Linked DNA regions of Astyanax mexicanus. The protein of the gene in region 1 interacts with the protein of each later gene in a pairwise test. Links are inferred from orthologs where the notes say so. Each region holds a gene or a part of one and is shown on either strand. Other genes may lie near its edges.

Region 1 (7,808 bases):
AACTTGCACAAAACAGAACAAACAACACACTATAAAAACAAACATCACAGTTGTTCAGTATCAGGTGTACTACTATAGACATTGGGTCACTGCCTCCTATTAAAAGTTGCCGAATGAATGTCACAGATACACATACCAGTCCCAAGACGTCACAGCTCAGCCTTCAGCAGGCTTTCATCATCACCATCATCACCACCTCAGGTCCCCAGCACAAACTTAAAGCAACAAAACAGTTGAGGAGTTCCCACAGGTTCTTTTCAGAACACATTCAATGGACACAAAGCTGAACAACACAGAACCAGGTAAGCTATTTGATAAGATAAGCTCTGTGTAACATAATGGAATTAATTCAAAACAAGCCAGAATGTTCAGAGTACAAAATATATTCAACACGATTCAGTAAAAATTTTCCACAACACAAAGATTGAAAACATGACCTAATCTGTACTGTCACATGTGGTGTACCTGGCTTAACACACATCTCTACACTGTAATATCCATTTCTCTGGGCACTCTACACTCACTGTCCACAACAGCTACTATTCACAGTGTCAAACATCAGTCAACACCCAAACCCACAAAACTCACTGTGAGAAATTAAATAAACATTACGCATTCATACTGAACCTAAAATAATATGGAAAACAAATATCTGAAACACGACATACAGCCAGCATTAACAAATTACACCACTATAAATGCTTTAGGCCTGTCATAATAATATTTTTTGGACAATTATTGTCCAAGATATATATGTCAAAGATTTATACCACTATATATTTTTATATAATGACAATATACAGTAATAGCATAATCGTGCCATTTTATATACCTTTTAAATAGAAATTAACTTTTGATTATTATAAAACATGCCACAAAGTCATTCACATTAATAGATTCTTCTCGTGATGTAAACCCCGTGGCCAGTACTGGGGTCAGCAAAAATGATAGATGTCATGTCCATACATTGTATGATATGTCTAGCCTATGATGTACATACTGTAAAAGACATATCAGCCAAATTGGTTAAGCCAAACCTGCTACATACGATCCACCTTCCTGCAGATTTCAAATCAGACCACACTCAGTCTCACCTGATCCATATACAGTAATTACAGCCTTCAGATGTCCCTGATTAGCTGAATGAGGTGTGTTTGATGTGGGTTGGAGGTGCGATGTGCAGAATGGTGGGTAGAGCTTTAGAGAAGAGTTATTATTCACTGACTGAGCTACTGAAATAAGTTACTAATAACTTGTAACTAAAATGCAGAATACAATTATAAAATGCAATTTCTGGTGCATGTTAAACAACGAGGAAACGTACACACTATATGGACAAAAGTGTTGGGAACAAGAATTTATCCTGCTTTTGTTGGAGTAACTGTGTCTTCTGTGCTGATAAGAGCTTCCACTAGATTTTGAAGCACTGCTGTGAGGTTCTGATTTCGTTCAGCAACAAAAGAGGAGCAATAGTGAGGACAGGATGTTGAATGATCACCATCCCACCTCAACTCACCCCATACCCAACTCACACCCCCCCCCCCCTCTCAAGTCTTCCCAAAAGTGCTGAATGGAGCAGCATCATTTCAGAGAACACAGTTTCACTGCTCTACAGATCAATACATGGTTAGGCATGGTATCAACAGGATCAGGTTTATTCCATTTAATTGGAAATACTTTTCTACAGGGACTACACAGTCTGTGTAATCCCTGTGTGTGCATTTGCACATCTGTGACAGCAGTGGGTGCAACCTAACTAAAGTACTGTAGTTGAGTACTGTAGTGTCCATAATCATCTGGGCATACATAGCTTATATAAGTTAGCTAGTGTACATTTACTATAGTGCACTATTTAATATTACTGGTATGTGTATGTATGTGTGATCACTTTATTAGGCAGCACACCTGAGACCATCCATTCACAGAAATGAGGACTTCATTCACAGAAAACACTAGAATAATAAAAATAACAACAACAACAATAATAATAACAACAACAGTAATACTTTTAGTGTATTTATAATAATAAAGATTTTAATTATTTTTATGATTATTAATGTAATTAAAAAATATATAATTAAATAATAGTACGAGTAGTATTATAGCTACTGTATAAGCAAAGTGATACTACCTGTTTAAAAATATGGTATTATTAATTATATTAAGCTTATTCCTAACACTTTCTAGTCTTTAACTAAGGCTCATCTTAATTGTAACATTAAACCCACTTGAATAAAAATATTTAAAGAGCACAGGAAGCACGTATTGTCAATACAAATACATTCCCATTTTAATATGTTTTTAATCTAACATGCTTAAATACACTAGAAAACACAATGTTACTGAGAACACAATAAAATGAGACTATTATTAGGATTTAAAATGAGAGAAGTCCAAAATCACAACTTACTCAAAAAGGCAGTGAATTGTTGAGCTTTTTTTTTTAATTATATCACAGTTAAATCACAGTTGGTGTTACTATTCACTGTTTCCTCGGTGTTATAAGAGTTTTAGTGGTGTGTAAGTTCTGTAGAGAGTCAGTTAAAGGCCTTTTCCCAGAGCCTGGAGGAGTTGGAGCTCTCTGGCCGAATGGAGCGAGAGGAACGCAGACCCGCTGAAGCAGCTCGACATTCCTCCTCCAGCTGAGGGAGAAACTCCAGCCTGCTGCTGCTGCTGCTGCGGCTCCTCTCACCAACCAAACACAACTTTAACCACAATTCTACACAAACCACGACGGAGAAACAAACCTCCAGCAGCTCCAGCGGCTCGTCCTCACGCGCTTCCCTTCCCCAGAGCCCGAAAAGTGATAAAGCTGCGGGTCTACTCACCAACTGATAGAACTGTAAATCCCGTGTACAGAGGAAAGCTGGGGATTTAAACATCGGTTTCTCGGGTTTTCGCTGGTCGGACTCGTTTTTATAAAAAGCAGAGTTTAAATATGCTGAGCTCGTCCTCCATTTTCTTGCTCCTCTCGGCAGATTTAGAAATGCAGCACAAAGTTGGACACTTACTGCATTGTTAACATTCCTTAGGAGTCACGTGAGGCACCGACGCACGTCAGCACTGCACATAGTCTAGGCGGGGCTTCCTCCATTTACAACACCCCGCTCAGCGACCCCGCCGCCGCCGCCGCCGCCGCCGCGCCGCTGTGGAAAAGCCAGGCCGGGCCGGGGTGGACTGTGCTGCCGCTGCTGCTGCTGCTACTGCCGCCCGGGCCTGAGACCCAGCACAGATCACAAACCTGACCAGGGCTGCACCATTTCAGCTTCAGTTCCTTTAAAAGTGTGTGTGTAAAGTCTCTACTAAGTTCTTAGTTAACTGCACTGGTTAGTTTCAAACCTCCTTTTTACTAAATCCGGCTGCACCAAACACCCGTAACTTTATATCGTGTCTTAACTATTAACAACTAACTCCTGCGCAGATTTACCGACTCGCTCTTTCAATAAGAAAATTATTGTATAACATGGAAATCAACATGTTGCCATGGAAACGCGTTTGCCATCAGTACAGATGTTTTTTATTATTTGTGAAAAAAAAATACATTATTGACTTATAACACAATAAATGGACGTGACATCAGTAATATTTGATAATCGTGATTTTATCTATTGCGTTTATTTGTATGTTTGATAATATTTATAATAGTGAACAGTATTTTAGCCAGTTGTGCAATGACCAATGCTTCAGTAATTGCGACTTGCTGTGTGGACTGCAGTAAGTAAAGAGAAAAGTATTAATTTCCCAATATATGATTAAAAAAGTCTTTAACATGGTAACCATTATGTCAGTGGCATTTAAATGGTCTTAAATGTCAATAATAACATTTATTAGAATCAGAAGAATATCATTTTAAAATTATTTTATTTCGGTATTACACACAGAGTAAACCATGTTTAATATAGGACTTTTACATTTTAAACTAAATTACTAAAATCGAGTAACTTTTCAATGATATATTTTTTGGAGGTCATATATATGATATTCTTGCATTATCTTGTGTTATCTCCCGAACACCCAGTAGGAAAAGTGTTTTTTTTTTCATCCTTACCCAAAAGAAATGCTACTGTTGAGGTATTTTAACAAATTTAGCATAAAAGGTCACTAGTCTATCACTATTGTAAAATCTAAATTAAACCTGTCAAAGGCAAAGAGATTAGAGCACCTTAAAACACAGAGCTTATATATTTGTAAAAAAAAAAAAATAAATAAGATCAACTATATCCCTCCACCTTTAAAGCATAAATAGGGCAAGGGGTCTCCTTCCTCACCCTCACCACCACCATTACTCCAAGTTGAAGGTGATGTTTCTGGTTCTTCCATCTCAAAACAAACTAACAAAGCTCCAATGTTGTCAGTGCAGGAAGGCAGTAGAGCAAAAGGCAGAATGTGAGCAGCAAGGTCTTCTTATAAGATCAACTTGGTCACTTAATTCACCCAATGATGAGCAGCTTCAGCAAACCCGGTGACAGTGCAGAGCAGTATGGAATTTTCAGGGCATCTGTTCACACTGAGCAATGAAATATATATTTTTTCCTTTTTTATTTTATTCTTTTACATGAATTTGAATATGGCCCTTTATTTTAAACAAAACAACCCATATCCATGACTGACTCATGGGCACACACATGTATGCGCAGGCACACATAGAACCTATCAAGAGTGGGACAATACAGAATAAATAGTGTTGTTTTGTGCATGCGCATGAGACAATGAAGATTATTTTTGCGGTTCCTGAGCCCTAAAAAGTACTGGCGATCCTCCTGGTACCGAATAAGGATGTAGTGCAAAATGTATCAGACTAAAAGTATAAAACTCATGGAAAACATGTATTGAAGTAAAAGTGGAAGTCGGAGAAAAATAATAATAGATACAGCAGATACAGCATTTTAGTACTTAATTACAGTTGTGAAGTACTTTGTTATACAGTTGCAAGAAAAGGTATGTAAATCCTTTGGGATTACTTGGATTTCTGCATAAATTGGTCAAATAAATGTGTTCTGATCTTCATCTAAGTCACAACAATAGACAAACACAGTCTGCTTAAACTAATACCACACCAAAAATTACATATTTGCATCGATTTATTGAACACAACATGTTAAAATTCACAGTGCAGGGTGGAAACAGTATGTGAACCTTTGGATTTAATAACTGGCTGACCCACCTTTGGCAGCAATAACCTCAACCAAACATTTTCTGTCAGGAGGAATTTTGGATGATTCCTCTTCACAAAACTGTTTCAGTTCAGCAATATTCTTGGTATATCTGGTGTGAATCACTCTCTTGTGGTCATGCCACAGCATCTCAATTGGGTTGAGGTCGGAACTCTCCAGAAGGCGTATTTTCTTCTGTTGAAGCTATTCGGTTGTTGATTTACTTCTATGTTTTGGGTCGCTGTCCTGTTGCATCATTCATCCTCTGTTGAGCTTCAGTTGGCGTCCAGATGGTCTTAGGTTTTCCTGCAAAATGTCTTGGTAAACTGGGGAATTCATTTTTCCGTTGATGACGGCAATCCCTCCAGGCCCTGAGGCAGCAAAGCAGCCCTAAACCAAGATGCACCCTCCACCATGTTTCACAGTTGGGATGAGGTTTTGATGAGTGTGTGCTGTGCCATTTTTATCCATACATAGCGTTTTGTGTTCCGTCCAAACAACTCAATTTTGGTTTTATCTATCCTCAGTATATTTTGCCAGTTGTGCTGTGGAACATCCAGGTGCTCTTTTGCAAACTTCAAACGTGCAGCAATGTTTTTTGAACAGCAGTGGCTTCCTCTGTGGTGTCCTCTCATGAACTCCATTCTTGTTTAATGTTTTCCTTATTGTAAATTTGTCAACAAAAAATGTTAGCATGTGCCAGAGATTTCTGTAAGTCTTCAGCTGACACTCTAGGATTCTTCCTCACCTTATTGATCATTCTGCACTGTGCTCTTGCAGTTATCTGTGCAGGAAGACCACGCCTAGGGAGAGTAGCAACAGTGCTGAAATTTCTTTATTTGTGGATCGTCTGTCTTACCGTGGACACATGAACATCAAGGCTTTTAGAGATACTTTTGTAACCCTTTCCAGCTTCATGCAAGTCAACAATTCTTGAATGTAGGTCTCCTAAGAGCTCTTTTGTGCGAGGCATGATTCACATCAACATGGGCGTGGTAGTGGGGGGAAAAGTGGACCTGACTACCCAGGGCCCGAGTAGGGAGAGGGGCCCATGAAAATCCTGATTTTTTTTTCGCTCACTTTCCTTTGTTTACTGGCATGGATAGGGGCCCATTAACATAGAGGGTGTACAGGGCCCAGAATTTGCTGCTACGCCCCTGCACATCAAGCAAAGCTTCTAATAATAACTTCTTAAAAGAACTCAAAACTGGTGTGTTTTTATGGGGCAGGGCATCTTTAACCAGCACATCCAATCTCATCACATCCTGACTACAATTAGATCTTAGAAAAGTCATTAGCCTAGGGGTTCACATAGCTTTTCCCCCCTCACTGTGATTGTTAACGTGTTGTGTTCAATAAAACCATGCAAACATAATTTTTGTGTGTGGTATTAGTTTAAGCAGACTGTGTTTGTCTATTGTTGTGACTTAGATAAAGATCAGAACACATTTAATGACCAATTTTTGCAGAAATCCATGTAATCACAAAGGCTTTACTTACTTTTTCTTGCAACCTTGCATCTCGGATCACAAGGTGCTCTGACATTTGCATGCCACAGTAAACATTATCTTGTTCTTGCATAAAAATACTGACATTTCACAACATAGGCCTACTCGTGGGATAGCAGTGTGTAAATTGATCATAAGGTGTTACCTTATGTTAGAGGTCTGCACAGGACTGCTTTTTTAAACCCGCTCCCGATTGTTTTAATCCCGAATGTCTGCTTCTCTGATTGTTTTAATCCCTCACCTGCCAAAATTACTGATTTTAATGCCACGGGCAACAAAAATTGTTTCTTTTAATCCCAGACCCACCAAAAATCGCTTGTTTTAATCCTACACTCACCAAAAATTGTTTCTTTTAATCCTGTGCCCACAAAAATCGTTTGTTTTAACCCCCCACCCTCCAAAAATTGTTTGTTTTAATCCTGCTCCGCCAAAAATCACTTGTTTAAACCCGCACCCGCCAAAAATCGATTGTTTCAATCCTGCACCCGCCAAAAAACACTTTTTTTGATCCTACACTAACCAAAAATCGCTTAATCCTGCACCTGCCCAAAAATTGCTTGTTTTAATCTTGCACCTACCAAAAGACACTTGATTTAATCATGTGCCTGCCTGCCCGCACATACACATTTCTGCCACTCCCACCCACAGTGCTAATATGAATTGAATAATTCAACTTTTTTTGCTTAAAATTTATTTATGTATTTATTAAACAGCAATACAGCGCTGTCCCATTACCACAGTCCAAACCAATGCCGTCAGGTGAATTAGAGATGCTGATATAGTCCCCCCGTGTGCGAGTGTCTGTCGGTTCAACCTCTGTTTTGATATTTATCAGTAATATCTTGAAGATTTTTTTTTCGCTTGCATTGGCTATTAATCTGAAACTGCTTTCTGTTTTCTTTGCAGCTTTACTTGAGTGCCAGTCATGCGTCTGTAATACTCAGGAAGTTCGCTTTAGAATTACATTTCTTTGAGTTATTCTCAGTGCTGAATGCATTAATCAAGATTTAAGCATTGACTGCAGTCAGATCAAGAATCTTGTACTAGAGGTGGATTTAGGCCTGTACACTGGATGAAGAGATTGATTTAGAAAAAAAACATTAAACTAATGAATATATGCATCATTATTAATAATCTTATTGATTGA
Region 2 (7,577 bases), on another chromosome or scaffold:
CTATTTTTTCCTTTATCCACACATCTACTATATAGTTACAAAAAAATGGTGATAAGTATCATGGTACAGATATATAGTGATTTTCTAAATCAAATATATATTATAAAGGAACACAATCATATGCACAAAAGCTGAGTTCTCTTTTTATCCAATCTGAACAGTGGGATCTGAAGAAATTTCTACACTACCATCTCGCAGTCTGGGTTTAAACACAAAATGAAATGAACCATTCATAAACAATCTATACTGTATGTCAAAACATTCCTTTTGATACCTCAATATTTCCGTACAACCCAAGTTACATTAATTATATTGTTATTTTTTGCCATAATGGGCATTTGTTGATCTGTGTCTGTTGTCTTTTGTGTTCATGTCTGTAGCTGTGTGGATTTTTGACGGAGGTTGTTATCGATCAGCTGCCCAATCTTTCTGATCTTCAACGTTTCCTCAGTCATCTAGCTGTTACAGACCCGGCACCACCAAAAAAAGAACTCATCCTCGAGCAGGTACACTGCTGCTACACACACACTTTCTTTATCACTGTATTGCTAGAGAGGTTGTGAACCCATTACAGTTTTTTTGTATTTTCTGTATTACACTTAAATTCAAATGTAGATCTTGGATCTTGTCTATAATTAATTGAGCCTTTGGACCCAGGGCAGAAAAGCAGCCTGATAATGCCATCTCCATGCACAACAGTTGGGATATGGTTCGCTTTCCATTTAAACAAAAGTTTTCTGTTTAAGATTTTTCTGTTTTCTAGGATTTTTCTGTTGTCTGTTTTTGTTTTCTGTTGCCATCCATGTAGTATCCAGTTCTTCACTTCAGATGTGCAGCAGTGTTCAGTGTCCTTGCCCTTGGACTATAACCGTTGTGTTAAGTTACCTCCATTTGCACATAATCTTTCTCGTATAAGTGGGTTGCTTGGGCATTCTTAATTCTTAACTTTTTATCCTTTCTTCCTTCCTTTTTCTCCTTTGTTTGAGCCATTCCACAAAGTTCTGTGGTGAAGATTGTAAAGTTTATGTTTTTTTTTGTTATCCAATTACAGGTCAATTATGTAGGCATACAGAAAACTGTAAAGGGTTTACGTTTTTAAATAGATAAATGCAGATCATACGCCATTAGAATCTAAATCAAATATACTGATTTAATTAATAAACCATTTCTGACTAAATACTGTTTTAGCTTCCAGAAATTTGGAATGAAATTGTTGCTGAGAATTCTGGCAAGTGGAAGGCTATAGCAAAGCATCAGGTGCAGAAAGTGTTCAACCCATCCGAGAGTGAGCTGAGACAACAGGCAAACAGGTGAGTTTTAAATTTAGAAATGTGCATGCAATGTGTGATTAGTTCAGTATGATGAGCTGTGTGTGCCTGCTCCCCAGGTTGGCTGAGATGTATAATCTTGATCTGATGGAGAGTCTTATACCGGATAAGCCAAAGTGCGGAACTTGTGGTGCGGAGGGGATCAAACGCTGCTCCCGCTGCCAGGGGGAGTGGTACTGTAACAGGTATCCTACATTTACCTAACAGCAAATATATCTCAACCCTGAAACTAAGGAATCTGTATTAAATTGGATGTTTTGGATGTAAAATTCAGACCATGGCTACCTTTCAGAATGGTAGGACTAGCCATGCTACAGTGCCCCCAGAAACGGAGAGGGTTAATGGCCTTGTACAAGGACTCAAAAATGGCATTTTTTGAGCCTTGTGATCAGTAAGTCAGTGCTTATATTTGTATTATATACCTCATGGCTACTGATAACACTGGCATTATTGGAACAGCTGTGAGGTTGCTGACAGTGTGCATGCAGTGGTGTTTCATGCTATCTTATGAACACTAATACTTTTGGTTGTAAATTTGCATTTAATTTGGGCATTTTTCATTATACGACTACAAAAACAAAAAATAGTGGATTATGGATTATGGATCTAGTTTGACGTTCTAATGTACATGCAGCTCTACACACTAGGGGTGAGTGATATGGCCCTAAAATAATATCACGATATTTCACGGTATTTTCGCCATATCGATACTCTTGGTGATTTGACAAAACACTAAATTACAAAAATTATTTAAAGAATACACTACTGCAACAAAAGGAAATTTGTATTTTATTATTTCATACAATACGATATGACACACCCCTAACTGAGGTATTAAAAATACAACAATTGTATCAGATTTGTAACAGAAGTCAATGATCCAGAATGTCATGATACTAATAATGAACTCCAAATATCTCCATATATCCAGGATTAACGTAAAATAAATGATATTGGAGAGATATGATATGTCTCTAGTAGATATATAATGGGAAACGAGAAGAGTGTAAATTATTTTTTTGCTAAAAACAGCAAAAAAGTAGTACCCTGGTGTGATAATTAGGGGTGGGTGATATGGCACGATATTTCAGGGTATAATATTGTTAACGATATTCAAAAATGTTGGCGATATTGTTGCGTCTGATACGATATAGCACACCCCTACTACACACACATAGTTCTTTCTTCCTGAAAACTTGTTCTATATTTGAAACCAAAAAATTCGCATTATGCACTATTTACAGCTTTAATTCAGTTTTGAGTTCTACAAAAGTATGTGTCTTTCAGAAACATTCACTAATGAAATTCAGCAACTCCCCACAGGTTTCTGTTGTGAGTCAGTGTGTTTTCTGGCTTTTTATAGTTCTGGGGAAATGATTCTTACTGACCGTATGCCACAGAAGCTGAGGATAGAGATAAGATCACCAGACAACTAAAGTGCACTAGACACAGCCACAACTCTTTCAGACTTTGATTAGATACCAGCTACATTGTTCTAAATAATACATATGTTTCCTTGTAGAGAGTGTCAGGTGAAGCACTGGCCCAAGCACAAACTTGCCTGCCAGCTGATGGCAGAGGCCACAGAGAAACTACAGAAGGAGCTGAACATCAAGACCTGAGCAGACCGAAAATGGAAAGAGGCAGAGACTTCAGATGCAGAATCACAGAGAAGAGCAGACAGACAAATGACTAAACTCCATTATCACACTGACCTTTGTAGAATGTGTTGCTATGGTTATGGTGGTCATAATGGGAACTGAGGAAGAGAAGGAGTTTTCCTCTGCTCAAGTGAGCAGAGCATGTGCATGTTTTTCCCTGAAAATGTAAAAAAAAAAAACTTTTATAGTTCTCATAAGTGTTAGAACATTCTGCACACTGCTTCCCCATGACCAAAGGTATATGTATGAACAATGCAGATGCTTTATCCTTCACTCTCATTTCCCTGTACTTCCCTTTTGTTTGTTGGGTGGTACAACTTCTGGTACACAATATAGGCTACTGTTTGTTTCTCAACATTGAAACCCTGACTTTTGGCTAATACATGCATAAGATATATGATAGCTATATGTTGGTGCCATATGTTAATAAACACTTTAATAAATCTCCAGTGAATTGAACAACCTTGAATGTTTTTGTACAGTTTCTGTGTGTGTGTTTTGATGGCTTGTTTGATCCATATAATTACACAGTGACAAATTAGTTTAAAGTAAATTGAAGTCCATTCCTAGCACTCTAAAATATATGATGTTTTTAATCCTGTACACATTTTCCCATTAATGGGAGAATTGCTGTCGCATTCTTTTAAAGTGCCACATCATTTTTGGAATACTGTCTCATTATTTCGACTATTTCACAGTAATGGTTTATCACAAAACTATGAAAAAGTGTTTCGAAACAATGACTTAGTTTCTCAGAACAATGAAATGGTATCTCCAAACAATAAGATAATATCTCATAATAACTTAGTATATCAAAACAATTTGAGGGTATCTCATGACTTCGTGTCTTAAGACCATGTGAGGGTGTTTCAAAACAATGAGATATATATCTGATAATATTGACTTAGCATCTTAAAACAATAATAAAAATGACTCTCAAAACAATGTGATGGCATCTCAAAATAACTAATTAGTATATTAGAACAATGAGACATTATCCCAAAATAATGACTTGGTGTCTCAAAACAATGTGAGGATATCTCAAAAAATGTGATGGTATCTCTAAATTATGGCTTAGCCAACATTATCTTAAAATAATGACTTTTCTCAAAACAATATGATGGCATCTCAAAACAATGAATTAGTATCTTAGAACAATGAGATATTATCTCAAAATGACTTTGTGTCTTAAAACAATGTGATGGCATCTCAAAATAATGAATCTTAAAACAAGGTGAGGGTATCTCAAAAAATATGATGTAATCTTAAAACAATAGTAGTAGTAGACAGTATCTCTGAATCTCAGATAGTATCCCAGAATAATGACGTAGTACCTCAGAACAATAAGATATGAGTATCTCAAAATAATGACTTGGCATCTCAAACTAATGAGACAGCTATTTCCAAAACAATGGAAAAAATATATTTGGGGATTTTGTAAGTGTTTATAAAAAGACCAAATCATGGAAAATTTACTTTCCTTTTAAATTTAAAGAAAGTTTGATTTTTTTATTCAAACATGCTAATCCCACACGCGCACACACACAGGCACAGCATACACACACTCACACCCACAGAGGGCATGGCTGGAGAGCAGGCTGTGGGCTGGAGTGATACAGTGTGATTCTGCAGATGTAGTTACAGAGTCTTTAGCTCGCTGGCTGGATCCACTCAAAACCCAAAATAAGAGAGAAGAAGAAACTTACCACTCTTCTCTTTTACCAGCAGGAAGGAAAGGGGTTATTTCGTCGCTGCTTTGAGACATATCCGAAGAAATGACGCCAACATTTCGTGAGCCGTGGACGTTATCTTTCTCTGCGTTTCGCTATAAGCAGAAAAATGGAGACGAAGCGCTGGATTTGAAGCTGCTCAAACCCTCGTTCATGTGAAGGCGATTCCTGGAGCTTACCGTGGTGCTGTCTGCTCTTCATACCCGCGGGTGAGCTCTCAGCTCGGTGTCTGAGCTGAAGACAAGCAGCAGCCTTTTCTCTCAGCGGAATTGTCTTTTTAAAACTTCACCAGTCCTCTCAGCCATGCGGTAGGAGACCACCAAAGTTTTGCTTTAAAAGTGCTAGGTTAACATTTTATCTCAGACATAGTTTTAAACCTAACGTTTTTTAAAAGTAGAAGTACAAAATGTACTATACTGTATTTTTATAACTAGGGTGTCAACCAAAGTCTGTTTAGAAATCTACCTTTATTTAGGAGATATATGTGATACATTCTATATATTCTTTTAAAACTAGTTTTTAAACTATAGTTAACTAGGTAGGTTATGTAGGATAACTTATCTTTCCAGTGGGAAAGTGAATGTATTGTAGCTTACCTTTAAATCTCTTTTCAACCACTCAACTGGTCCTCAAAGACCCTTGTTGGAAAGTTTATTTGACATTTTTTCATTGTATGTGTTCTTTGAAAGACAGCATATTTAGCCGTTACCTGTACAATACCCTTAATTCTGACACTTGTATTGTATTTGTACTTCATCCTTCTTCTTCTTAATCTAAAATTTGCCAAACAATCTTTAGCCTGTCTCTTAATCGTATGGCTCTTAAGTATTATTATTATTTGACCTAAACCACAGGCCTTTCCTGAAACATCAGCAGATCTCATTTGCTCATGTTTTTCACCACAGAAATGATTCAAAGAGCTACCTAACCCTAAAACCACTTGTCAGGCTGGTGTTGATTCTACATTTCAAAGCCTTAACAAACTATATACTGTGATGATTTCTTAAAGTTAAAAAGACCTTTAATCTAAATGTCAGACATCATTCAAGGTCATCATACATAACCTGACAGACTAAGTTTAAACTGCACTGACTGCAGTGGAAAAGAACAATGAAAGCCAATAAAACCCCGCATTTTTTGAAGTCATCAAACCAAAAGTCATTACCTCTTAACTACACATCATGATGCCCAATGTCTGAAAAAAATGGCTTATTTCAAATGAGTCAAGGCAAGAGTCAGCTACAGTTGAGTGGACATACTGGACAAGACAGCCGTTGATCACTGGAAAGCATGTCTTTTGGTGAGATGATTGAGCTTAAAGAGCTCACCATGCTGGAGGGCCGCATTGAACTTACTGCTTCTGCACCATCTCGGACTACTCGTTTGGAGAGGGTCAATGCATTGAGGATAAGCCCAGGGAAAGTTCCTGAGCTGATAAACCGGGTCAGGATCATCAGACTACTGGGGGACTCTATGGATGACCCAAGACTTGTGGATGATACAGGAGAAGGCCATAACTTTCAGCCCTGCAGCCATACTCAACCCACGTGGTGTGACCTGTGTGGAGACTTCATCTGGGGGTTGTACAGACAAAGCCTTCGCTGTACAAGTGAGTATCACCTTCATTGTGCTTCCTGTGAATTGAATGAAATAGTTTATTCTTTAACCCCTCAGTCTGAAGCCCTCAAACATAATATTGTAGTTACCAAATCTATCAAGTAGTTACATAGTTAATACATGAACACAGTTTAGGATTAACAACTTAATAACAAGCTAAATGTTTAAGGAAGTTTTGTATAGTGCAGTCTGTGATGTAGATTTACATCCATGCATCGACAAGCTTAAAAGTAATGAAAAGTAAGGTATATGATCCACATAATCCATGAATGTTCTCGGTATATAGTCGCTATCCAGCAGTCTCTAAAACAGCAACTTTTACAGAAGAGAGAAAAAACTTGTATAAATATATTTTTCAAGATAGGATTGTCTCTCAGTTTCTCTTCTTTTCTTTTCTCTTACAAAATGAATGGCTTGTCACACACCCCTGTTAGTGGTTGGGTTTTTCTTCTCTACACATTTCCCAACACATTCCCACAACCTCTCAGTAAGATTTATATCTGATGAGTGATTGTATTGTAGTAGTATTATCTGAACTTCCTTATTTGTTAACCAAATTCATCACTGGATGAAAAGCGTGGCATCTTTCTTTGTTGTATTATTTTATTGAGTATAAGTTGTAGTTATTCAACAAAAAAGAAATGATCAGTAAAAGGAGTCTGTAAGAAACACGCAGAACAGTTAATGAGTTGTTACAACTACAACTAGTTAATCCTCTCACTCTACCATACATAACATAATCTTCTGGAGTTTGCTCTAAACTATTTTTTGGCACCAAACACAAAACATTAGAACATGCTGATAACAGTAGGATAGTTATTTGACACATAAATAGGTTGGCACAAAAATGTGAATGTCATTTTACAACCCTGTTATTTTGATAATAGATCTGTATATTTCATTTATTTTATAAAAAATAAACTTGTGCTTTCCCTTCTGATGAGTCTGTAGGTCCAGGTTGATTGGTCATTTGAGGGAGTTTGGATAAAAGACAGCTAAAAATAAATGCTGGCATCTGCCTGTGTTAACGCCCTTTTAAGTCCGATTTGTTTTATGGACAGGAACAAATACCTATTTATGGCGCCCTAAAATGAAAGACTTCAACACTGTTTGATACTCTGCTTTGTTGGATGTGTTAAAATCAGACTGACCTATCAGAGGTTTATTTTCCTGGTCGCAGACCATAAAAATAAGTCTCACATTAGCAGATTAGAACACAAAAGCTTAGCTATATGAAGAGC
Region 3 (7,973 bases), on another chromosome or scaffold:
ATAATGTTACAGATTAATGTTATAATGTTAAAAATATTAAAGGGCATATTTCAATCAACCTGTTTTATTTGTATTGTCCTCAATATTGGTGTAGAATGTAAACATTCCACAGTCAGCACAATTTATCTGTGGGAATGAACCCTATTTTAAACATGACTTTACAAAAACAGTTGTTTTAAGATGGGCTTTATTTACAATGTAGAACAGTTTGGCTCCACCCATTCAGACTGCCGTTATAAAAAGTGTTTTAACCTGGACTGCTTATTGAGTATGGCACAATAGAGGGAGGCCAGTCTGAACAGGGTTTAATTCTACAGTTACTTCAGTAATAAAGGCACAGAAACATCTGTTCTGTTCTGATAAAAGGGGTTAAGGCGAGAGTTGAGAATAAACAGAGGCAGTTTTAGCTGATTAGTCTCTCATAAATGAAAATGACTACACGATGAACATACAGAACAGTGATTACCTCTCATCCAGGCCTCTCCTCCTCCTCCGTCCTCTTCCTCCTGCTGCTGCTGCTCCTCCGCGGGTCTCCGCAGCGCGGTGGTCGCGGTGGTGCCGTTGCGGCTGTAGGCGGTGAAGCCGCGCTGCGGCGAGTACGCGCACACGCTCGCGCCTCGATAGGTGCAGTTGAAGAGGTAACAGCGGGGCCCGTCGCGCGGGGCCGCGCGCTCCTCGCGCACCACCACGGCCACGGTGCAGCGCGGCTCGGCGCAGCACGCGCGCAGGCAGTCGGCGGGGTCGCGCGCGTCGCTCGGAGCGGACAGGAAGGTGGCGCCGCGCTCGATGGACACGGCCGCGCGGATGATGTGCGACTCGGCCGAGTCGAAGCGGCTGAGGCAGGCTGCCGCCACGGGCCCGTGCTCCCGCTCTTCATCCTCCCCTACCTCCCCCTCATCATCCTCATCCTGCTCATCCTCCTGCTCGTGCTCGTAAGGCTGCTCCTCGTGCTGCAGCTGCTGGCGGAACTCCTCCAGCAGCTCCTCCACACCGCTGATCTTGCTCTTGAGGTCCGACAGCGGCGAGGAGACGGCGCGCGAGGCGCTCGAGCTCACCGGAAGCGCGGAGAGCACACAGCAGAGCAGCGGCGCGAGGACGCGCGTGACGATGTTTAGCCTCATGGTGCTGTCGGGGAAAGAACGCTCGCTGTCCTTCTCATTACCATCAGCATCGTCTCCGCGCGTACCAGCCCATATTCCCTCTCTTTTTCACTCTCCTCTTATGCCCTTATCTCTCTCTATTTATCCCCCTATCTATCTATCTCTCTCCCACTCACACTCACTGGCTCGCTCGCTCAGTTCAGCAGGTGCTCGAGCTCGCCTCTGGTCCTCGGGGGACGGAGGATGCTAGAGTGAGGCGAGCAAGCGCATGCGCACTGAAATTGGGAGTCCGAATGAGCGAGCGAAAAAAAGAGAGAGAGGGAGGTAGATGAAATCCTGACGTGACGTCCCGTTTTGTCTCGCGGTACCTGAAGGAGGCCGAGCCCTACAACAACAACACCCCCCCCCCCCCCACACACACACACAAAAGTGCACGTTGACGTCATGCCAGATGCGAAGCCCATCCTTTGTTGTGCACTTCGATGGTGGTCTTATTTTTTTCCCACCCCTTTACGTACGCCCCCCCAGGGTTGTTTGGACTTCTGTCCTTCAAATAGTAGGGATGGCTGTTATGAAGTGCCTCATACACTGCAGTCAGAAGACTGTGTTCCAAACAGTGCCCTTCCCAGTAGAAAAAATAATTTAAAAAATAATTTAAAAAATAATTTTGGTGCTCTATAGGGTTCTCTTATAGGTGAGATAACAAGTAAACAATTAGGTGTTCACCAATTGTTGGCCATTATCTTGCTGCATGGTGAAGCATCTCCTAATTAATTTGGTTGCACCTTTCTTTAAATTGACAGACATGTTTCTACATCGATGAAGATTAATGAATCTGTCATGCAATATGCCCATATTGTTTCTGTCATCAACTGCTGTGGATTTCCTTAGTCTACCTGTTCGACATCTGTTACTTAATACACCAGTGACAACTTTTTTTGTTTAGGGCATTGCAAACTGTAGTACAGACTATAAACAATATTTGTATAATGGCTCTAATGTATTTTCCATCTGCTCTTAGCATTACAGTTGCTTGTTTTACTCAGGGACATGTTGTTACTCCTCTAACTATAAATGCACAGTCTTTACAGACAAAACCCAAATCTGAAACTGAGTGTAGACATTTATTGCTATTTATTTTGTAAATAATCAATGTATCAGGACACACCAGATCAAGAAATACAACTGACACCTGTCACACATTCCAATACTTTGACTTACAAGAAAATTTTGTGGGTTCAAAAGGTCTATTGTGTAAACTGTGTATCAGTGCCAAATGTAAACAACTGTAAATAAAAGCTGAAATGTTGATCTTTTTCTTTTTTTAAGAAGTATAATAAAAAAAAACTCAAATGTTTGCAGTGTACAGCAGAGATACATGGATTGGCCTCGCTCTTCTAATACATTTGGAGGGGACTGTATTTGCCATCACAATAAAATTAACTCTTTAATAGTAAAAAACAAAGTAATTTGTTGTCAGCTCATTCTCACTGTTAAACATTTAAAGTATACAGATTTTTTAAGAGCTGATGTGACCTCAAATCACGCAGTTGGTGTTTATTTATTTTATTGCTTTAATACAGTTTAGAGTCATTTATACAAATTAAATGATATGAGCAGGATTGAGACATTTTGTGAACAAGTAGCGCTTGAATATTTATTCATGAATATATAATAAAAAAAAAAAACATAATTTCTATTTACAGGTACTTTTTTCAGTTTTTAATTATTATAACAATGTCAAGGCAATGTCTAGTATATTGTATATCCTAAAATAGCAGCTTAAAAATCACTAAGCATAAAAAATTAACAAGACACTGCAATATGTAACTCTGGTGAAGTGGAGAGGACAATGTTCACAACAACTGTGTAATGCTGTGTAGCCTGAGCCATTGTTGCATAAAAGTCCACGTGATTCCATTCACTTTCTGGGATGGTTCTGCAGATCTTCTTGCAAAATGCATGTAAAAAGTGTGTGCTTTAGTGGTTGCTCAAAGCACAAATTGCACTTTACTGTAGGGGGAGACAAGAAGCGACAAGGTCAAGCAGCAACATAATGCTGCTTTAAACACCGTTTTGTTTATTTTCACAACAGTACTAGGTCAGCTCAGTGATAAAATTAGTGGCAACCAGGAATTGTCCTGCACTTCTTAAAAGTGTCACAACAGGTAATTTGAGCAATGGTAATTATGTTCAAGAACATTCACAATGTGTAGTTCATACATGCTTTAAGATTGCCATTATCATCCCTGTGATGAGGAAGTCCCCAGTGTCATATGTCAATGATTACTGTTTCATTGCTACCAACTGTTCAAGACATTGCATCCTGTCCACCATATCCCACCTAGTCCTCACCCTCCTGGAAAATGAAGACACATACTGTTCACTGACAGCATTCAACACTACCGTCTCTCAGCATCTGGCTGGAAAACTGAGTCTGCTGGGCCTGAACAACTCCCTGTGTAACTGGGTTCTGGATTTCCTGAAGTGACGTAAGGGCATCCCACTACAGAGGCATTAACCAGGCCATGCCACTAGAGGTGGCTGTGACTTCATTTGCAACAGAGAGTTTAATTCTTCTCTGCAGGATGCAGTGATACTTATTCTGGTCATTCTTAAGGGCTATTGTGTATACAGCTATTGTGCTACTACAGATAGTGGAGTGTATTTATTTAGTGATTTGTTGATGCTGTTTCCCCAGTCCTCAGTAGTCCTCATTGAGGACATCCCCTACGAAGAATCTATAGTCCTGTGGGTCCCAGTCCTTTTCCTGAAATCCTCATGCACTTATTTTTTTTCAAGCACACACATCTTAAGTATATGAGGGCCCCTTTATGTTATTACAAAGCGGGTAAACACACGAAAACATGCAGTGTCGGTTAGCAGTTGAAAAATACTAAGGGTTGTTAATTTGCATTGTCAAAAGAGGGCCACTAGAGGTCAGCATTATGACTTGACAATCGTCTTTCTGTAGAGAAAGTTTAGTTAAAGAAATTTGTTTTAAATCTCATGATGTTAAAAGAGCCTACCCTTGCTGAAACAGCAAAATGTGTAATGTGACAGTGCTGTATTTATTTATTTATTTTTTTTTTTAAACTTCTCCACGCAGTAGTTTGTTTAGTATTTAGTATGCCATGTCAAAGTTACCATCATGTAACATATAAACAGTCCCCTTCAAAAGTATTGGTGGAACAGTGAGGCTGATCCCCCTGTTTCTGCTGTAGACTGAAAACATTTGGGTTTGCCATTAAAATGTGAATATGAGACTAAAGATCAGCTTTTCAGCTTCTGTTTTCATGTATTTACATCTGGATCTGGTACACAGTTCAGAAGATAGCACCTTCTGTCTGAACCCACCAACTTTTTTCAATTATTTCAGTCTACAGCAGAAATAAATGGATTGACCTTGCACGTACCCCATAACTGTACTCTCTCTCTCTTAAAACATTGTCTTATTGTAACATGTACTCCACAGCCTTATAACAATTTACTGCATTAATCTTCTGCGATGTAGCTTTCGTAGGCAGTACATTCCACCAGTGTAAACAATTCTGAGCAGTACAACTTTCCTAGAATTCCTAGAATGACCCGTTTCAGCAGAACCTCCTCTGAATTAGTTCACATTTTAACCGTTTCATCACAAGAGACGCTTTTAAAAAGGCGGTGGAATTCCCCTTTATCCAGAACGTGAGTAATGTCCAACAGAAATCCCCCGTCACCTCCTCCATGTTCACTTTCGACCGCCTGACTCTTTAAAAGGCGTTCCCGGTATGCTAATACGCCCCGCCCCGTTTTCGCGTGAGTAGTGTGTGTGTGTGTGAGTTCTGGTGATGTGGAGGAGATAACAGTGGTGATAGGGCAGGGTCCGCACGAGCCCGCGAGCGAGCAGTCAGGCAGCGTGTGAGTGTGACTCGTTTTCGTGTTTGTTTTCGCAGCGCGATGAGCTGAGCTCGTGCAGCCTCGCGCGCCGGATCCGTCGAGCTGGTGTTGTGGTGAACATGGTCTCGCGCAGCGCGGATCGTCGAGGACTTCCCTCTCCTCCTCCTGCGGCTCTCCGACGCGTCGTGCGGCAACTTCAACTCCTCCGCGTCGTCGTGCTGCGCGGAGAGGCGCGCGGGCTCTCGGAGCCACGGCTCACCGAGAGCACTCACTTTTGAACGGACAAACAGCGCGCGCGCGCGTCGTGACTCGAGGCTGGAACGAGCGCGTGGCCGCTGACTTGACAGCAACAACAAACCGGCTGGGCAGCGGCGCTAGCGCTGCAGGACCATTTACCTACGTGTTTTTACATTTTTAACTAATTATTCACAACTTTTTTTAATGAATCTAGGATTTTCATCTTTTTTTTAACATCTGAGTGAAGAACAGAACAGTGATTTATTTCGTTATTATTATTTTATATATATTTTTTATTATTCTGCGCGGAGGAATGTCTAAAACTCGTTTGCAGAAGAAACTGGAACTGAAGTGACTGGAGGAGCGTTTTTACTGTTTTTCTTCTCTTTTCTTTTCCTCCTCCTCCGTAGAAGAAGAAGGGGAGGATGAACCCGGAGCCGGAGTGCGTCTCTCTGCCGGTTCCGTGTCGCGAGGACTGCTCGCGCCCCGCCGTGCCCGCCGCCGGCACCTTCTGGCAGGACGCGTCCTCGGCGGTGGCGGCGGCGGCGGCGGGGGTCATTGCGGGATGCCCCGCGGAGAGCGGACTCGGAGCCGGGCTCGGGGGGCTGCTTACACCGGGGAAGTGCAAAAACCGGCGGGCGAGTGTGGCTTACGTGCTGAACTCGGAGACGGGAGCCGAGAGCATGGCCCTGCAGTGCCTGCGGGACGCCTGCGAGGCCGTGGGCACCGCGCTCGAGATCGTGCTCTTCGGGAAGCTGGACTTCGGAGAGACGGCCGTACTCGACCGCTTTTACAACGCAGGTAGGTGCAGCGCTGTTTATCCCAGTTCTAAGGACTCGCTGTGAAGCTGATTCACACGCTGGTAGACTGAGAGTGAAACTGAGGAGGTGGGCTCACCAGTCTAAAGAACATAGATAGTGACAGACAGATATGTCTATTAGACAGTGAGCCAACAGTAGTAGAGTTTAGAGCAGTTCCCATTGGACAACCTTCACTATCTGGGAAAAAAAACACACTTTCTCTTGGTTATTCTAGTCAACCAGCATTGAGTAGTCATTCAGGTGGATTTGGGGTGAAATGCTTCAATCTACCCAATTGAAAAACATAGCCAACAGAACGGCTGATGTTGTTCAAGATTAGGATAGTTGCTCAGCTTAGCTCTTGACTAGTTTTGGTTAAAGTTTGATGAGTTTGGACTAAAGTGGGGCTGCAACTGTTGATTATCTTGGTAGTCAACTTTGTGATGATTATATTTTCGATTAGTCGATTAATCAACTATTATTTCTGTCATGTTCTCCATCTCTAAAAACAATAGAAACAGCTGAACATGAGATTTTAAAAGACATTTAAATGTCTAGATGCTTTTTAAATGTGGAAAGTACTAATATTTTGTGAGTAAATATGTAATCTCTAGTGTTTGGGCACTTTTGGAGTTGAGTGTAAACTGTGTGAGTGAGCCACTCAGTGAGCTACTCTTCTGTCTCCAGCACTTTGTGTAATGCAGGACTGTTACAAATGAACGATTAGTTGACAATTAAATTTGTAGTCGATGCATTTAAATAATCGACATTGACGATTATATCGACTTATTGTTGCAGCCCTAGACTAAAGCATGATCAACCTGACCAAGCTAAACCACCACTCTGACCAATCTTGACCATGCTGATGGACCGCATAATCAGCATCACCATGCTGGTTGACCAGCATAACCATCATGACCAAGCATGTTGGACAGCATTACCAACATCACCTAAGCTGGGCTGACCAGCATAATAAACATCATCAAGCTGGTTGACCAGCCCCACCACTTAATCAGCATCACCAGTTTGGATGGCCAGCATGACCAACATTGCTTAACTGGTCGACCACTATGATCAGCATGCCCAGAAAAACCATGCTTGGCCAAGAAAAACCAACATGACCAAGCCATGACCTAACTCAGAAACAGCATACGCAGTGTTGGTCAGAAGGTGGCTGACCAGCTAGCTTCCCAGCATAGGTTAATTATATATCTGGAAGACCAGGCTTCTAACCACCTTAACCATTACCTCAGCTAGAAGCAAATGCTGGTCTTGAGCTGGATTTTTCAGCAGGGTGGAGTAACTTACCAAAACATACAATAGAGGTGACTGGAACCAATGGTCACCATGACTTTAACACACAAATTGCCATTTAATCAACTATCTACAGTGTTTGGTGCACCTAAATTGGTGTACTTGGTGTACTTTTGTTAACACACTTTTTTTTAGCTCTCTGGATAAAAAATGCATTGACTGTTATAAAATAATGCTACAGGCATATTCAAAACCAAAGGTACGGTGGTGCTTGGAAGTTTGTGAAAGTTTGTGCTTAATACTGGATCCATTTTCTTAATAAATAAATGGGCAAGTTTTGTAATTTTTCATTTGTTGCCTTTGAGTTGATTTTTCTTATGTGCTAGGATTTGTGAAAATTTGTTTTATGTCAAATTTATGCAGAAGTATCAGAAAATCTCAAACAGTTCATAAACCTTCAATCACCAATATATCTGTAGTTGTTTCTGTCACCCAGTTTCAAATATGTTTGCTCTTGCAGAAACAAAAATCCTGCAAAACACAAGACATTTATCAGAAGTTAAACAAACCTAACAAGAAGTGGGTAGTTCTGTATAAAAGTACACACTAAGCAAATGTGGTTAATCCTGAAAGTGCAAGTAAAATTACTTTGAGGACATGGATAGTAATTCTCAAACACTGTCCATACGACTGCAGTGAAACT

Evidence for each region.
Region 2: the proteins of lats2 (region 1) and ras association domain-containing protein 1 come close enough for resonance energy transfer, tested with the Homo sapiens proteins (2 studies listed by BioGRID). The link is inferred for Astyanax mexicanus from reciprocal best matches to the Homo sapiens genes LATS2 and RASSF1.
Region 3: the proteins of lats2 (region 1) and map3k5 come close enough for resonance energy transfer, tested with the Homo sapiens proteins (2 studies listed by BioGRID, with this or other methods). The link is inferred for Astyanax mexicanus from reciprocal best matches to the Homo sapiens genes LATS2 and MAP3K5.

What each region holds. Positions count from the first base shown.
Region 1 is NC_064418.1:25,406,785-25,414,592, forward strand, and holds the start of lats2 (serine/threonine-protein kinase LATS2), read right to left. Parts: upstream 3,001-7,808; 5' UTR 2,829-3,000; intron 2,788-2,828; exon of another isoform or gene 2,748-2,787; intron 1-2,747. UniProt on the Homo sapiens protein: Negative regulator of YAP1 in the Hippo signaling pathway that plays a pivotal role in organ size control and tumor suppression by restricting proliferation and promoting apoptosis.
Region 2 is NC_064412.1:14,811,532-14,819,108, reverse strand, and holds the start of ras association domain-containing protein 1, read left to right. Parts: upstream 1-4,569; 5' UTR 4,570-6,009; coding exon 6,010-6,328; intron 6,329-7,577. Other genes in the region: zmynd10 (zinc finger MYND domain-containing protein 10), read left to right, coding at 381-506, 1,189-1,310, 1,388-1,513, 2,851-2,950. UniProt on the Homo sapiens protein: Potential tumor suppressor. Required for death receptor-dependent apoptosis. Mediates activation of STK3/MST2 and STK4/MST1 during Fas-induced apoptosis by preventing their dephosphorylation.
Region 3 is NC_064408.1:49,309,801-49,317,773, reverse strand, and holds the start of map3k5 (mitogen-activated protein kinase kinase kinase 5), read left to right. Parts: upstream 1-4,908; 5' UTR 4,909-5,641; coding exon 5,642-6,017; intron 6,018-7,973. Other genes in the region: lrp11 (low-density lipoprotein receptor-related protein 11), read right to left, coding at 467-1,121. UniProt on the Homo sapiens protein: Serine/threonine kinase which acts as an essential component of the MAP kinase signal transduction pathway. Plays an important role in the cascades of cellular responses evoked by changes in the environment.